Linked DNA regions of Canis lupus familiaris. The protein of the gene in region 1 purifies or fractionates together with the protein of each later gene. This does not show direct contact. Links are inferred from orthologs where the notes say so. Each region holds a gene or a part of one and is shown on either strand. Other genes may lie near its edges.

The links. Proteins that work in one complex are often made in the same cells at the same time.
Region 2: the proteins of FAM53C (region 1) and DYRK1A purify together in Homo sapiens (affinity purification with mass spectrometry; 8 studies listed by BioGRID and IntAct, counting the BioPlex papers as one, with this or other methods). This does not show direct contact. The link is inferred for Canis lupus familiaris from reciprocal best matches to the Homo sapiens genes FAM53C and DYRK1A.

Annotation. Positions count from the first base shown.
Region 1 is NC_049232.1:25,988,544-25,993,789, reverse strand, and holds the start of FAM53C (protein FAM53C), read right to left. Parts: upstream 3,420-5,246; 5' UTR 3,106-3,419; intron 3,003-3,105; exon of another isoform or gene 2,651-3,002; intron 2,177-2,650; exon of another isoform or gene 2,159-2,176; intron 1-2,158. Other genes in the region: SLBP2 (uncharacterized LOC474694), read right to left, coding at 3,954-4,082, 4,848-4,968, 5,112-5,246.
Region 2 is NC_049252.1:32,307,537-32,312,268, reverse strand, and holds part of DYRK1A (dual specificity tyrosine-phosphorylation-regulated kinase 1A), read right to left. Parts: intron 3,762-4,732; coding exon 3,475-3,761; intron 973-3,474; coding exon 826-972; intron 1-825. UniProt on the Homo sapiens protein: Dual-specificity kinase which possesses both serine/threonine and tyrosine kinase activities. Exhibits a substrate preference for proline at position P+1 and arginine at position P-3.

The sequences.
Region 1 (5,246 bases):
CCTGGTTCATGCTGGGCTTTGCCTACCCAGAGTACCAGCACCACTTAAAAAACAGCTCAAGTGAGAGAGGGATATCCAAATGGTTACTTTCATCCTGATTCCCCCAATACTTTATCTTCCAATCAGAATCAGAGAGGTAACCATTTCCCTAAACTACATTAAAAGGAACAGGGAACAGCAAGGAGAACTGGTTGTAGGAATGACTTTCTGCTTCAGATCAATCAGAGTAAACAAGGTTTTATGTTCTCCCTAAGCTTCAGTGTTTGATATATTATTGTTTTCCAACAGATACTGTAAATATTCTCTCTAAAAGGGTTAAGAAGATAGAGAAATGGTACCAGGATTTTTCCAATTACATTTCAACTCTATACATGTTAAAAACACCAACTGTATGACTTCATTCAACTAAGTTTTTAGCCTGATCTTACTCAAAGACCATGGATTCAATTAATCAAGGCTCCTTCCCATGGTCAAGTTCAGTATAAGCAAACTAATTCCATCAGAGAACAGGCTTCAAGCCCACACAATTGCCTGAGGGGCCTTGCTCAATGGAGGAGGGGAGGATAACCTAGTGTTTCCATATGGTTCCGCCTATTCCCAGAAATGACCAGCAGGCAGACAGCTCATCAGAAGGTGTATGTAGCATTCTCCAGTAGATATAACAAACATTCAAGAAATCTACGTCTTGTGTTAATTTGCTGGGACAGTTCTGGGAAATCACTGGAGTTTTCTTGGCCTTAGTTAACCTACATGTAAAATGGGCAGAATAAATGTCTTAATGTGTCATGGGTACAATATAATGTGAAATATCAAAGTGTAAAAAGCATACCATCTAACCTGCACAAATCAGGAGTCCACATAGACTGTTTCTCAAACTCTCCTGTTTGTTGCTCTACACAGCCTAAGAATGCCACATGTGATAATATCATTAATCTGAAGAGGACAATTGGGTTTATCTATTTGGCTGGATGCCAACCTCCCTCACCTGAACACCCAGGGAAGCCCCAAACAGCTCTTCTGTGACCTTGGAGGTAGAGTACTTTCTACTTTTGCAAAAAGAGGGAATCATCTCTACCCCGTTCCACCTTGGAGAGAAGTAAGTAAAGAAAAGCAAAGAACTACGTGTTGATGTATCTGCAGTTTTTTGGAAGCTGTGGGAGAAATCAACCATCATTACAGTTAACTATCATTTTCATGCATAATTATTATTACCACCCTCAAAGAAGTTCTAGCTTCCTGAGAGCTCCCTTCAGCGGCTTCCCCTATGATCTTGTGGGAAAAGCTAAAGCTTATATCACATTGCTCTTGGTTTCTTAACTCTGCCCCCAAAAGATCAACTAGAGAGGGACCCTAACTGCAGGCTTTTACCCCAGAGATCCCAGGCCTCAGGCTCACCAGCCATGAAGAGCAGGGAGTGAAGCAAAGTCTTTCAAGCTTTTCATGAGGCATTTGGCCAAACAGCAAACTCCCAGCCCTCTCTGGGATCAAGTGAAGAGAGTGATTTTGTGTTTTTCTGCATTTTAATTGTTGGGATGTGGCCACACACGGCGGTAATTGGAACAATGCAACTACCACCACGCAACTGATACTCTCAGCCTGAGTTTCCTAAAACAGGCCAGGCTGAGAGGGGGAACAGAACGGAAGCCATAAGGAATCAAACCAGGACACAAAAGAAGGCAAACCAGCTCCGCGAGGGGCCTCCTCTTTCTCAGGCAGGCATAGAAAAAAGTGTAAGAAACCCTCTCTTGCCGCCTTCCTTCCCCTTCCATTTTGTGTATCTGAGGGGCAGAGACAGCCCTGAATGTTCACTAAACAAGTTAAAACTTCTCAGCTTAACAACTGGCACAGGGCTCAGCCCTTCACAGAGCAGCAGGCCGCTAGGCCCTCCCTACGACCCCACCAGGCCCAACTCTCAATCCAGGCTTTCCCTCCACCAACAGCCCCCTAAAATAAAGACTGGACCCCCACCCCATCTACTATTGGATGGTAGTAACCCCTGACGTTGGGGTTTCAGGGATGCTAAGGTTGTGCTGAAACCTGGAGAACCCAGGATCAAATCAAGCCAAGAGGGAGGAGAGTCACAAATCCCCTGGGGACCCTCCCCCCAGGTCCCAGCCCCACACCTCTGGGGGACACTAAAGAAAAACATGAGGGAGGCAGGGAGGTACATGAACAGGTAAGTGGGGAACTGACTGCTCTTCCTCCATATGGCTCTGGCGGGGATAGGGGTGACAAGTGGGGAGCACCCCTCCCCCCACCCCGATGAAGAAGCAAAAGGCTAGGCCCCCCTCCAGTCTTCAACCTCTCCCTCGGTTGCCCTGCCTGTCCCCGCGGGGTGGGGCATGGGGCGTCCGCTAGCCCCTAGGGGGGCACCAGGGCTCGCTCAGGGGGGCTGTCTTTCGCCTCTTCCCAATCAGCTTCCATCATCTGGCCGCGGGAAGCGAACTCAGGACGCAGGAGATGGAAAGGGTCTGGGACTTAGCACTCCACCAACCCCTCCCCCACCGGGTCCCGTGCTCTCCCCGTGGAGGCGTCCAGAGAGGCCGTGCCGCGCGCGCCGCCGGGCTGGGGGAAGGGAAAGAGGGAAGGAGGGAGGGACAGTCGAGGTGCCCGCCCCGAGGCCCCAGCGCCACCTGCCCTCGCCACCTACCGCGGCTCCTCCAGCTCCCTGGGCCGCGGCCGGAGCAGCTCTGAGCGCTCCGTTCGCCCCACGGTGCCCTTAAAAGGCGCCGGCGCGAACCAACGGGCCCCGAAGGAGAGTGGGGGAATCGCTCTGGTTCGCAGAATCGCCCTGAACCGCCCGGGGAGGCTCGAACCCCGCGTCGCTTCTCTCCCAAAATCTTTTTTGGAAAGTGCTGTCGGGAATGAGCCAAGCTCTTTGATTTAGGGATGAAGGTGGCTTCTTCACTATCGAGTCACCCCCTCCAAAATATTGCTGAAGGTGGACGGACCCAGTTGGCGGCACAGCTCCAAACCCGCGGGGGAGACCGTGTCGGACGAAGGTAAACAAAGCGATTCTCCTCGCCCTCCATTCCAACATTGGCCCTAGTACGGCCCCCTACCCGGTTCGGGCCGCGTAACAGAAATAGCCAGAGTTGCTCTTACCTGCTCTCTCCTCCCGCCCTCTACGGGCACCTCTCAGAAGGAATCCCCCTTCCGCCAGCAGAGGACCGGCCCGCGGCGTGAAGACTTCTGGGAAATGTAGTCCAAGAGCCGATCAGGGCCTGCTCTGAGTCCCGGGAGCCCCTCTTCCAGCTGCCGGATACCCTCCAACCTTATAAACCCAGGACTTGTAACGGTTGCGGGGCCGTTCCCAATTGATTCTGTAATTAGCCCTCACCCAAAACACTTTGTAAAGCTGAAAAGGGCCCAGGGCTGCTCACTCCTCCTCCTTCCTCTACGCACCCCCACCCCCCAGCAGGATGAGGTAATGGGGTTGTGATTATGACATCATAGGCGGTTCAGTTGCTTGCGGGGGTGGGCGGGGGAGGGGGGGGAGTATGGTGGTTACAGCTGGACCACTTTCCTTAAGACAGAAAGGGAGGGAGGAAGGAAACAGGCAGCTGGGTAAAAGATGTTGATAGCTTTGTATTTCCTCTTCAGGAAGAGGATGCCACCCTTTATTAAATTTCCACCACTACCATCACCTCCCACCTCAGCCAAAGTTTAAGTCTTTTTTGAGAAGCCTGAATGTAGACGTTAGTAGGGAGGAGGTTGGGGAACAGCAAAATGGTTACTGGCTCTTATGTAAATTTGAGGCTCAGCTATCAAAGAAGGTTTAGAAAAGCAGGCAGAAATGGAAAAAGAAGTTTTAAACAATGCTTTCGTGTTGTGATCTCTTTGTAGGGCAGTTTTAGATTTTTTTTTTTTTAATCCATTGGGAAGTAGCAGTAATGCAGGTAATCTTTACTGTTACACTTAGCAACACGTCCCTTGAAAGACATATGCTTTCTCTAAATATTTTGTGCCTCATTCAAATCTGGGACAGGTATGTAACTGTGATCAGCTAGAAAGTAGAACCAGTGGTGTTCTTCCTCATAGAGCCAGGGAAAGGAGTAGGCAGGAGGTACCAAGTCTGCAAACTGAAAAAGAAGAGTAGAGGCAGAGTGAGCTACTTATGAAGAAAATGGGGGTGGAAGGAAGATGCACTGCACATTTCCTTTCCTTGCACATTTCTCCTTGGCAAAAGAGGGGACAGGGGCCATGAAGTGGGGAGACCTAGTTTCCAATAATTGCTGTTGTGGAGCACTTATTATGTGCCAGGCACCGTGCTACATACTTTAATATGTATTCTTATTTTTTGCTTAGAATCATCAAATGAGACAAATCTCCCTATTTGACAGTTGAAATGGTTGGAGAGATGAAGTGATTGTCCATGTGGTGGACAAAGGTAATATTATAAAGCAGTCCTGAGGCTCTAAAGCCCTTGGTCTTCATTCCACTTGGTAATCCTTGTTTTTATTATCAACCATACTTTATTAAAGTTCAGTGACTGAGAATAAGAAGTAAAGTTAGCATTGGCTCATTTGCAAAATATTGAAATAAAAGGAGACATTAAAAAAGCCATATCAGGTTTCAAGGCCTCAATTCCAAGAAATATTGTACTCCTTTCATCAAGTATAAAATAACCCCCAATGCAGCCCAATTTCCCACCATTGTTAACTACAATTAAATGTCCTTATGCCACCTTTTTCTTAGATATTTTAATTCATGTCCTATTTTTTCTTGCTGCCCAATTTTTCTTCTTTTGTTTTTCGACTACTACCTTGAATCCCATCCTAATTGTTACCTTGTGGGCCAGACCCTACTCTAACCCTGCTCCAATGGGTTTTAGAAAAGGATACTACCTGGGCTCCCTTCTGGTCTTCATTCAGATTCACTGATGGTTCCAGGGCCTGGAACCAGTCATCCAGGAGGTCATCCGTAGGTGTGGAACCCATTGGCTCTAAGAGATGCTCCATTCCCTGGCTGGGAAAGTGGCAGAGTCAGAGGAATATGCACCTCTTTCAGACTATCCCTTTTCAGCCAGAAAAAGCTAAACCTCTGCAAAGTGAGGAGAGGTAGGGCTCAGTCCACCACTCCTAACAAGGAACCAAGAATAATACACACACCCCTCGGACCTCCTGCCTTTCGGGGGCTGGCTGGGGGGATCCCAGGAATGCAGGGCTCTTCTCCACTGCCTGATCTGGGCATCCCAGGAGCGGCGGCTGTACCTCCTCTTCTTGTTTGGTGTTTGAGGGTGAAGT
Region 2 (4,732 bases), on another chromosome or scaffold:
TGCCAGTTACTGCCCATGAGTGGCTCACAACCTATAGTTCGAGTGAATTAGCAAGATGGAAGGGACAGGTTTCTGATACGATACTAACAGCTATATAACCCAGTATAAGTAAGTCATTAAATTTCGTTGGCCATTCTCTCTTATTTATAAATGCATGGACTGATCAAGATCTGTAATGCGTAACTTTTCTTTAAAAAATGAAAACTTCACAAGGTTTTAAACCAATGAAAGGCCAATTCCTCTGACTGCCAGAGAGTATGACTCTCCCATGCCCTCCTAGGCACTGGCTCTGATCCCCAAACATCTTCTAAGAACATAGACTGAAAACCCATGAATTAGAATAATTACACATAGTGTGTAGCTCTAAAATTCTATCATCTTAATTCACCCTCAATTATTCAGATCAAATACCCAATTTAAGGCTACTGGTCATCACTTCTTTATTCCAAATCATATTCTCAAAATTTACACAGTGATGTTTACATTGTTTTCAGAGTGTCCCTCAGGCCTTTTATCATTATTTTTGTTATACTGAAAATCTGTAAAATATAAATCAAAAGGCTTAACATTTTCTAAACTAACTTACTGTTCTTACCAGCAAATTAAAAAATCTCACCCCCATCTCAAAATCCTAAATTCCCCATTAGGATAATTGAAAAAATTTAAAAATGGATAAATGCAAATTAAAGACTGACCCAACATTTGAATATTTAAATTGGTAAGTAGGCATCTTTTTCTAAAAAACAATTTTCAGATTACACTGTCACAGATTACAATCAAAAACAAACTGTGAAAAAAGAGTTTTGAAAGCAATCCATTATATACCTCATTGGCTCCACTGAACAGAGGTTCTCCAGTGTGCATTTCAACCAAAATACACCCAAGGGACCACATATCGATAGCAAGGTCGTAAGGCATTCCCAGCAGCACCTCTGGAGACCGGTAAAAGCGACTCTGAATGTACTGGTATATCTGAAATACATGTCAGTATCATGTTAATTCCAGCATAAGTTTTGTTTAATTATGCTCAACGCTGAAGTACATCTATCTAATATTACCAGAAAAAGTAACCACCTATCCCCTGAATTTAGGTTCTGTTGACAGCTTTCAACTTGCTACTACAAATAATGTTTAAATAACTAAACACTTCAAGAGAGCAGTTACTCTTGACTGTGAAATGCAAAACATACACAATTCAAGTCCTTCCATTTATTCCAATCCTAACTGGTAATCAAAATACACACCTTTAAAACAAATAATTATGCCTCATCAGAAAAAAGATTATTATTGAAAACCGTTTGTTTCCCTATTAATTCTTCTTTCCTGCTCCGGCTGGCATTTGGTTAACCATAAATTTAAGGCCTCAATTGTATCTAAATTAACCTAAAGAATGTTTTTTAGCATTAAGTCAAATAGACTCAGTACAACGTAAATGAAAATTCAGATGTACTAACCACACAGATAAATTGGAAAAACAACTGGGAGTCGTTTCTGACCAATCACTTCTTCCCTATACTGTCCCCTTCCACCTCAATCTAAGGCCTCTTAGAAAAAGAAAATCTTGAAATGGATAATTTTCAATGAAGTAATCGAGAATATCTTGAAAGACCAATTCATCTTCCCTTAGCCCCTGTAAATTTGTATCTAGAAATATCATGAAAGCAAAGAAAGTTTTATTTAAAAAGAGAAAGAAACAAACAAAATCCTAATTAAACATCCTCACTTAACACTCAAACTAGGCAGCCATCAATCAGCATGGTGCTGCTTTCTCATGAATACTTTTGTGGCTCCCATCTAAAACTCCAGCCAAATCTCCAAGAGTAATCTGATGCCCCCATAAGCTGGTCACCTCAACCTTAATGCTGTATCAGAGTGAAGAAACTGAAATTCAAAAGGGCCAGGAGGAAGTTACTACATTTCCAAGTTTCTATAGGCCAACAGCATCGGTAAAGCCCCAAAGACTCCCTACTACTGAGATCGTCTTATTGCACAGCTTCTGCAAGAAGTCTGTTTCTCACCTATTCCGTCTGGTTATCTCCAACGCTGTGCACCTAAATCCCCTGAAATACACCAGCCCTGCCACCTTCTGAGACTGAGACTGTAGATCTAGGGTAAGGCCACCACATGTGTATTTTAGAAAGGACCTCTCATTCTAATCTGATAAACCCACATAGTTTAAACCTCACTGAGCTAAAGGGTTAATTGTCTTAGTTTGGCTGGTGAGACATAATAGTATTTGGTATTAGTACAGAACATATGATTTTATTTAAAAGGGGGGGAAATTTTTCCAAATCCAAATCCATTCAAAGGACTCTCAAGATGGGCATGTGTTTTCCACTCACGATATACTTTACCCACATGAACAACTATGCACATCTTCTGATTTTCAGGGGCATCTGAAACTGCAAACTTTGCTTTCTAATCCTTCAATTTATCTCAGTGATTTACAGAACACTGCTACCATGAGTAAGTTGCAGAAAAAAAAAAGCCAGATAACCCTGTGAGCTGACTATAAATCTTCATGATTAAAATAACCAGCCATATTTAAAACATGGGGAAAAAACTGCACAGGACAAGACTCTCACTAATTTGGAAAAAAGAAAACTAGAAAGCCAATACATAATAGTATCTGAATGTTAGTTGTGGTTTTTCATGTTTTTCCCCCAAGAAATGCAGTTTCAGCACTTTCAAGTAAACAGGAACAGGGTTCAAAAACGAACAAAATATTATTAAATGATTTTAATTCCTTTCAAGAAAAGAGTAACCTATCACTTCTGTTTTATATGTGCAACACTGTTAAGAGTAGCTTTTGTAACACTAGAAAGAAGAGCAGGAAAAATCTGGTTTCTTAGCTAAACCTGAATCTATTTATTGCTACAGATAGGTCTGTTTTTAGCAGTCTGAGGAAAACCAGTTAGGACACGTGTCAAAATTTATATAGGGAAAAAGAGACTTACATTTATTTATCAAAACAAGTATGTCTAACCAACTGTGTAATTTCTGTACTATATCACCATGTGTAATGCAAAATAACCTATACTGTAACACATCAGTTTTTAAAGAAAACATTTATTTTGATCTACCTTTCAAGAAGTATTTCATAGCACAGATTCAGTGTTCTAGTACTGGGAAATCCCCAAATTCATACTAAACCCGTTACTTACAGAATATAGCTACAAATCACCTAATATTTAATTCACTCATCTCCTATTCTCTCTCCCTTTTAGGCATACATGACTTTTTTTTTCAAATCCACTTTTAAAAAACTAATACCTTCTAATTCAGAATCTTATATTTGCATTTTAAGAGAGATTTCCCTCACAATAGGCTTAACACAATGTGATTCAAGCGGCACATTTTAAATAGAACCATCCTGAAATTATTTCCAAATTAGATATAAATAATAACACTTCAATATCTAACAACACTATTTTATTTAATTGTCTTAATTCCCAAGTCCTAAAATATACTTACCCTCTGCCCCAACTGACAAGAACTGCCAAAGTCAACGATCTTGATTGCACTGCGTTTGGGGTTACAAAGAAGGATATTCTCAGGTTTTAAGTCACAGTGAATGATACTAAGTTCTGGAGTCGCGAGGAAAAGCAGTGCAGTGCACATCTGCTGTGCAAACTTTCGTGTTAGGTTCAAAGAGACACCTCGAAAATTGGTGTTCCTCAACAAGTCATAGAGGTTGTAGGACAGCATTTCAAAAACTAAACAGAGATGGTTTCGAAACATAAAGTGGCGTTTCAAATGCACTGAAAGAGAAAAAAAAGTTTCATTTTAAATTATACACACCAATAAAATGAGACTAATGTATGCACGAACTCTCAAACAATCTACAACATTTCAATGTCAAATGGAGAGTGAAAATCAAGTTAAAATTTGGAGATCGGCATTCTGCAATAATAGCACAATCTATAATCAGGAATATCTAAATTGTTTGTCTGCTGAATTAAACAGGTGTGGTATCTGCCAATAAGCAATATAATGTTAGAAGTACCACCAAAACGTTTTGTTTAAAAAAAAAAATGAAGTCAGATCTGGAAACACAAGTAGCAAAGTGACAAACAGAACTGAGAATACTTCAGTAACTTTATGCTCACTTCTACAAGAACGCATTTTTTACTTCCTGAGAGCCCAACCTCAAAACTTCATCTAAGCTCCACCCACGGGGATCTCCAGGTTGTGACAGTGCCGTACTTGGCAGCTCTCTCTGGGAAGGCTTTCCGGCTCTGATACATATCCACATTCCGCTGTGCTGAGCCTTACATCTCACTAGTAATTTCCTGCAACAATTGTCAAAGGAAGACATAGATCTTTTTTTCTTTTAGGCAAATACAGCAAATATTTGAAAAGCATGCTTTACAAGATATTAGAGTTCATAATCAAGGCATCTGATTATGTTCATCAAGCTGGTATATGGGATATCTTGTGCAAAACAGAAGGTCTGGGGAAACTTGAAAATGAAGCTCAATCACAAGAATAAATTATAAGACTTATGAATGAAAAAAGAGTGTAAGAAGCCATTACATGCGATCACTGTTGACCCTCTAAAAAGGCTTAATACTCACTAAATTGTTTCAAAGATTGTGCTTTTAGTACTAACACTGACTGCACATCAGATGAGGTCATTCAATAAAGTAGAGTGCTGCCCTTCCCTGTAAAAATCTTATATATACCAAACTGAACCCTTGTAACTCAACTGGAATGACATAAAACCACCATC